Danio rerio: one gene and its partner. The protein of the gene in region 1 purifies or fractionates together with the protein of each later gene. This does not show direct contact. Links are inferred from orthologs where the notes say so. Each region holds a gene or a part of one and is shown in the gene's direction. Other genes may lie near its edges. The genes, in order: bcl11aa and chd3.

Region 1 (3,827 bases):
AAGCTAGTGTAACCTCCGCGCGAAAGATTTCGCTAAACAGCCGTTATAAATACCTGTGTGTGTGTGTGTGTGTCTGTGTGTGGACTGTATAGCTAACTTTATTGAGAATGGAAAAAGGTATCAGTACTTTTACTCCAAGTGTGAAGCATGTATTGATGCTGCTGTGACTGTTTTGGTTTTGCTGGATATCTACACGTGTTGTACATGCAGTCATAATCCAGATGTGTGTGTGTGTGTGTGTGTGTGGTTGAGTGAAACAGTCAGTCTGAGATGTAGTTTTAAAAACCAAAACAGATATAACTTATGTTCATTTTAGTGTTATATTATCATGAATCAAGATGTCATGAACTTTTAAGGATTCATATTTTTATGATTGTGAAGTTTTGTTTTTACAAAATGTTTATTTTGTAAATTATTTTATGCTTAAATTATTATTATTATTTTTTTTTTACAATTTCTGAGGTAATCACCTTTATGATTCTGAAATTAAAAACTGAAGTTTGATTTGTAAAATATTTTTTGTGCTCCCTCATCTTGTCTGCGTTCATTACTACACCCAGTCTCTAATATTCTCTCTGCTTTTCATTCCCTCTGTGTCGCATATGGATTCTTCCTGCGTGCAGCCGAGCCCCTGTCAGCCGTGGTCTCGGAGGAGAGGCAGGAACAGCGCGGGCTGGTACAGGTAGCTCCAGAGGGAGACCAGGACCTGCTCACCTGTGGCCAGTGTCAGATGAACTTCCCTTTGGGAGACATCCTTATTTTCATTGAGCACAAAAGGAAGCAGTGCAATGGCACTTTGTGCATGGACAAAGCAGTGGATAAGCCCCCCTCGCCCTCGCACGGTGAGCTGAGGAGAGCCTCCAACCCGGTGGAAGTGGGCGTCCAGGTCACGCCGGAGGACGATGACTGCTTATCGACGTCTTCTCGAGGAATCTGTCCCAAACAGGAAAACATTACAGGTAACCTCACCCAACGTGATTTCTCTTTCATATTATAGCCTGTGTGTATCTGTTTGTGGTGAAGCAGAGTTGTTGTGTGGGCCACATATCGTAGACACATGTCCTTTCTCCATGGGGCGTCTTGGAGACGTATGAAGAGTGCTGAATATTTAAGAGCTGTGGCATAGGAAGGGGAAGGGGGTTTTTTCTGTCAAACCTCAGAGTGAGAAGCCATAACGAAGACCAAAAGAGGAATGGCATGACTTCATAGAGCAACAAACATTTGAAATCTGATTTATTATCTCAAGATCAGCGCTGCTTGGAAGCAAGAATCTCCTTGAGTTGGGATTTGGATAATTAAGCTCAGATTCGAACCGTAGATCACACATTGCCACCACTGGCTGTACGCTTCGGTTTAGCACATTTGCACTTCTCAGTCCTTTTTCTCTGGTAACTTGTCGTTCGCTTGCCACATTTATCAAATGAGGCCTAAAGTGGTAGACTTTGCCTTAAAAGTTGCAGCGCAAAGGGTGTGTTCTTTACGACACAGCAGGCTGCTCGTCTCTACGGGGTGAAAAATAGAAGGATTGAGAGGGGGGAAATTTTGGCACTGGAGGGGCGGTTCGAGGAGTCCTTGCTGTGACAAGAGAGGCCATCCTCCTCGGTGTGTGTCCACAGGCTCATGGGAAATGCCTTTCTGAGCTGCACAGCCTCTCTCATGTGGTCTCGACAGATGTATCTTGATTTCGTTGTGGGTTCTTGCACAGCCACATCTTATCCGTACAAATGCACGCCTGCACATTTTCACTTTCTGTCGAAAAAAGCAAAGGAAATGGAAGGCCGTTTGGTTATTTTGGTTTGTCAGGGAACAATAATACGACGCTAATTATTTGTTTTAGTTTTGTGGATGTGCGTTTTAATTAGCGGTTGACTTTCTGCACTATATAAAACAGGGAAAATACAGTCATAAAAGAAGGAAGTCCCTTATTTTCAACTTAAAATAAAGAAAACAGGATTTGGTTGTAGCATAAGTCTAATCTCCCTTAAGCTGAGCGTTAAGTGAATTGAACTGCTTTAAGTTGTCACTGTGCTATTATGCGTCCATGAGTGTGTCTTGGGCTGGTGAGGCGATTTAGAGTGGCTGTTTTTTTTTTAAGTGCAGAAAATGTGAGAGTGAGTCTTTCCAGTCTGTTTTTCTGGCCTGGCTTTACGTTTGGCCATTCTCTGGTCTGCCTCAAAGATCAGGTTCCAGGAAGCGTCTGGGTCCGGTTAGCCCCATCAACAGTCATTTGGACTTGACCCTTTGCTCCAGGCTAATTATCGCCGGCTCAGTTCAAGTATCAAGTTGTTTTCCAACAGTTCCCTCTCACATATTTCGAATCCTCCTAGTCTGTGTTCATGTATTAAACGTACAGTGGAACTAAATTTGATCAGATATGGAGGCTGAACGGGGTCATTTGCGTCTGCTTGCCCTCTTTGTTTTAAGCATGTTGATGCAGTTTCAGCACAAATTATACAACCTTTGTGCGAGCCGGCTATCGCGCACGTCTCTTGTTTCTGTCAGCCGCTAAACTGGGTTATTAAACTCATTTACATCATAATGTATCAGGGTTCAGCTGATAGCGTTGGGTCACTGGTATTATGTGTGCTTGTTATTATTATTTTTTTAAAACAATTTTGTGGGTAGGACCATAACAGCTTCTCAGCATGTTACTGAATCTGCTGCCGTGTCAGGTCAGACAGGGAAGAGATATTAATTAGCCATATTATAGACGATTTCAGACATAACATATTCAAGGTTAGTTATGACTGCAGCTTACCATGAATATGTAAACTAGAACACTTTGAGAGTGCGTGAGTGTGTTTGTACCTGGGTTAGAGGTGGACTTGAATGTGACAAAACTGCATTTGAAAGAGTGAGGGAAAGGTGGCAGTTCAACACTTTTAAGAAAAAGCTGGCAAACTTTTTTAAAGTTTGTTCTACCTGTTTTTTATTAATTTAATTTCTTTTTGAATGGAAAATGTTTCAAATTCAGTTTATATGTGTTATATGTGTTATTTTTTACACAGCATTTTATTATACATTTTAAGATATCATTTACATTAAAAAGTTTGGGGTCAGTAGAACTTTTAAATGTTTGAAAATAAGCTTCTCCTGCTCAGCAAGGCTTCATCTATTTAGTCAAAAATACAATAGAAAATGTAAAATTGTGAAATGTTATTGCACTATAAAATAACTGTTTAAAAGTAGTTTATAATTTATTATTTTATTGCAGTGATTTTAATGATGAATTGTTATCTTCAGCTTTACTCCAGTCTTGAGTCACTTGAGCCTTCAGAAATCACTCTAATATTAATTATTATTGTTATTATTATTATTATTATTATTATTATTATTATTATTATTATTATTATTAATGGTAATAGTAATAGAAGCAATAATGATTGGAGTAAAAGTTTCATTTGAAACTAGTAATAAATAAAAAAAAAAAAATAATTAAATAAGAAAAATGATAAATAAATAAATAAATAAATAAATATTTAATAAATAAGTATTGAACTTTATTTTTTTACGTTTAATAAAAGTCACCTTGATTAATAGAATAATTTCATTTTAATGATTAAATAAAATTTATTATTATTATTATTATTATTATTATTAATGATAATAATAATAATAATAATAATAATAATAATAATAATAATAATAATAATAATAAAAACTGACCCCAATCTTTTGACCGGTAGTGTATATTAATTAATTAATTAATTTTATTTGAATTTTAAATGTTTTAGAAGGCATTATTAGGCTGCAGTTCAGAAAACCAAATAAGGAAATTGGTATGTGTGATGTAACAACTCCATTTCCATATAGAGCAGCTCACTGTG
Region 2 (3,827 bases), on another chromosome or scaffold:
TATAGGTTAAATAATACATACCTGTCTTTTAGTTAAAATAACCGCTTTTTTGCAGCTTATGTCGATATGATGATAGTACTGATGAATAACTTTAGCAGTTCAGAACATTTATACCATCAAATTCCACTTTGCCCCTCTGAAAGATGATGTCTATGTCAAACCTGTTATAACACACATATAATTATTAATTTTCCTTCATCTTAGTTCCTTGTTTATCAAAGGGATGCCACAGCGGAATGAACCAACTGCTATATTCCATCATGTGTTTTACGCGGTGAATGCCCTTCCAGTTGCAATCCAGTAATAGGAAACAACTTGCACATTCACTTATACACTCATATACCATGGACAATTTTTGTTTACCTTATTCAGCTACACCTCAGGTGACATGGTGGGGCAGTAGGTAGTGCTGTTGCTTCACAGCAAGAAGGTCACTGGTTTGAGCCTCGGCTGGGTCAGTTGACGTTTCTGTGTGGAGTTTGCATGCTCTCCCTGCGTGGGTTTCCTCCGGGTGCTCCAGTTTCCCCCACAGTCCAAAGATATGCGGTACAGGTGAATTGGATAGGCTAAATTGTCCGTAGTGTATGAGTGTGTATGGATGTTTCCCGGAGATGAGTTGCAGGTGGAAGGGCATCCGCTGCGTAAAAACATATGCTGGATAAGTTGGCGGTTCATTCTGCTCTGGCGACCCCTTATTAATAAAGGGACTAAGCCGAAAAGAAAATGAATTAATGAATAATTTAGCTATACAGCAGGCGACATGGTGGTGCAGTAGGTAGTGCTGTCGCCTCACAGCATGAAGGTCGCTGGTTCGAGCCTCAGCTGGGTCAGTTGGTGTTTATGTGTGGAGTTTGCATGTTCTCCCTGCATTTGTGTGGGTTTTCTCTGGGTGCTTTTCACATCGTTCCTAAGTGATGTTTATTTTCATATTTTCTTCAGCAGAAAATCTTATTTCTTTCAGTCTGGCTGCAATAGAATCAGTTTTTACATGTTTTTAAAAAACAATTAGGTCAATATTATTAGTCCTCTTACGAAATATAATTTTTAATTGGCTACAGAACAAACACTGTCGTCCAATGACTTGCCTAATTACCCTAACTGGCCTAATTAACCCAGTTAAGCCTTTAAACAGCACATTAAGCTGAATAGTAGTGTTTTGCTAAATAACCTGTAAAATATGTACTGTCATCATGGCAAAAACATAAGAAATTAGTCAAGACAGCTTATGTTAAGGGGCTGGTTCGAGTCCAGACTGGGTCAGTTAGCATTTACTAATTTTTGTTTATTGTTTACAATGCAAATCCAATTTGATCCACTTATTTGGTAAACAAAGCAAGTCTCCCATATTATATATCTACTAAATGACAGAAAATATTAAACTGTATTCTAAATAAATCATATCAAAATGTAATAATACTTTTATTGTATCACAATTATATTTGTGAAATTAATTAAAAAACTGGATAAATATAAATGTGCACACATTTACACAAGTAAATACATAGACTCAATGATGGGCTAAAAATTTCTGTGCGTGCCGATTCCATGTGGACCTAGTTATTGGTAAATTAAATAAACTAAATTGGCCGTAGTGTATGTGTGTAAATGTAAGTGTGTACGGATGTTTCCCAGTATTGGGTGGCACCTGGAAGGGCATTCACTGTGTAAAACACATGCTGGATAAGTTGCCGGTTCATTCCGCTGTGGCGACCCCTGATGAATGAAGGGACTAAGCCGAAGGAAAATAAATGAACTTATGTTCATTTTAAAAATGTGTTAAAAACCTTCTCTCTGTTAAACAGCACTTGGAAAATATCCAAAAAAGAATCCAATTTCACACAAGGGCTAAGAATTTGGCCTTAAATTCTGCCCTATTTTGAATATATACCCATATAAAAACCCATCGAGCTCATCTGACAGATTTACGTTTAAAGGAAGAAATGTGAGTCACTTAATTTTAATCCTAAATATTTGACTTGAAGTAATTCCTTCTGCTCTCACCATGACTTGAAATGCTCGTCATATGGAGAGCTGCATACAATATTTATCATCGTCTTAAAATTCTCTCCGTAAATAGCTTTCCATGAGAGCCGGTTGTCATAATTAGGTCACGTAGATAATCATGTTTGCGAGATTAATTCATTAAGTCCTACAGCTTAGTTAGGAGTCAGAAGTGGAATGGCTTATATTTCCTGCGCGACAGTCTCGGTCTCTGCGCCGCTCGTGTTGTTCAATAATTGAAGTGGGAAATGATTTGAAGGATACCTCGGAGGGCTCGCTGAGAATCATGGTCACTCTAGTTTCATCAGTTCTCCCGTGTTCGCTCATTTCCCTGCATCTCTCTCTTTCAGATGATGGAGACGACATTGGCGAGGCATCGGACAGGGACAACCTGGGGAAAAAGAAACGAGGGCCTAAGAAAAAGAAAGAGACGAAGAAGAAAGACAAGGAGAAAGAGGGAAAGATCGCCAAAGCACGCAAGCGGAAAAAAATTGTATGTGGCTTATATTGTTCTTCTGTCTTGATATTTAACTGGGGCTTTTATTAAACTTTGATTTAATTAATAATTCACAATCCACCAAATTTATTTTTATCGAACTACAGATGAAATGGCATGCTCATTAATTAACCCTAATTATCTGCAAATACTCATTTGTATTATCTGTAAATACAGCGGGGAAAATTAGTATTGAACAAGTCATGTTTTTTCCTGGTAATAATATTACTAAAGGAGCAACTGACCAGATTTTGGTAAAAACCCAAACAAATTCAATTACCCATTATAGAAGTTTTTACTGATCAGTTCGACATTTCTAACTCAAGATTCTTGGAAGATTCAGGCATTCAAATTAGAACTGGATAAAGTCTATCAAGGTATATAAATAGATGAAGCATGAAGAGTTTACATGCTAAAACCTCTAAAAGCCATTTGATATTTTCTTCTAGAATTAAAATTTTCTCAGACTCCTATATGTAGGCTCAGTAATTTTACTTTTGTAGTGATGAATAAGTTATTTTCATTGATTTTCAAGTAAAAAAACTGAACATAAACATAGGAGGCTGAAAAAAATGCACATTTTAAGAGAACAATTCTGACGGCATTTAGAGGTTTATGCATCTGAAATCTTTACCTGTTCTATTAACTCAAGACTCTACCTTATCAAATATAAAGTAGTACATTGGCTTCATTATTCTTGGGTTAAGCTTAACTAATTCTACCACTCCATCTCTTCTAAATGTAACAAATGTGAATCTTTTTTGGTCATGCCCAAAACTTTTTGAGTTTTGGAGTGAAATTTTCAGCTCCTACTCTAAGGCTTTTTCTTGTGAACTTGCCCCTTTTGCTTGGTCTGATTCACTTTGTGGGTTCAGTCATCAATTTAAAAAAGCTGTCCAATATGCCAGCGGTTCCCAACAGAGGAGTCCAGGCCCACAAGGGGGCCTCAGCTAGCTCTGTGGGGAGTCGTGTCATATTTTTAAAATTTTTTCAGCAGTTCATTTTATCCCCTGGCTGACCAAAATAATTGACAAATTTGTAATTCGTCCTCCACAAAAACAACTGAGTCTCACTGATTCGCCTTCAGCAGCTAGTAGTAATGACCCAAGTGTAGGGATAGTATACAGTTTAACCCAAAGAATGACCAGTCTGGTAGATGAAGAAGAGCCAGAGTCAGAGATTTAAATAAATAAATCAAGTTTACTGAAGATAGTTTGCAGTTTCATCCGAAGAAGCCAGCTTCAACACTCCCAATGAGTTCCTAGGCCGCTCTGCTTACAATCACCAATCAATAACAATTATACTCTCACATAACGTCATTAACTGCGTC

The links.
Region 2: the proteins of bcl11aa (region 1) and chd3 purify together in Homo sapiens (affinity purification with mass spectrometry; 3 studies listed by BioGRID). This does not show direct contact. The link is inferred for Danio rerio from reciprocal best matches to the Homo sapiens genes BCL11A and CHD3.

What each region holds. Positions count from the first base shown.
Region 1 is NC_133188.1:29,074,296-29,078,122, forward strand, and holds part of bcl11aa (BCL11 transcription factor A a), read left to right. Parts: intron 1-623; coding exon 624-959; intron 960-3,827. UniProt on the Homo sapiens protein: Transcription factor. Associated with the BAF SWI/SNF chromatin remodeling complex. Binds to the 5'-TGACCA-3' sequence motif in regulatory regions of target genes, including a distal promoter of the HBG1 hemoglobin subunit gamma-1 gene.
Region 2 is NC_133182.1:20,745,848-20,749,674, reverse strand, and holds part of chd3 (chromodomain-helicase-DNA-binding protein 3), read left to right. Parts: intron 1-2,351; coding exon 2,352-2,494; intron 2,495-3,827.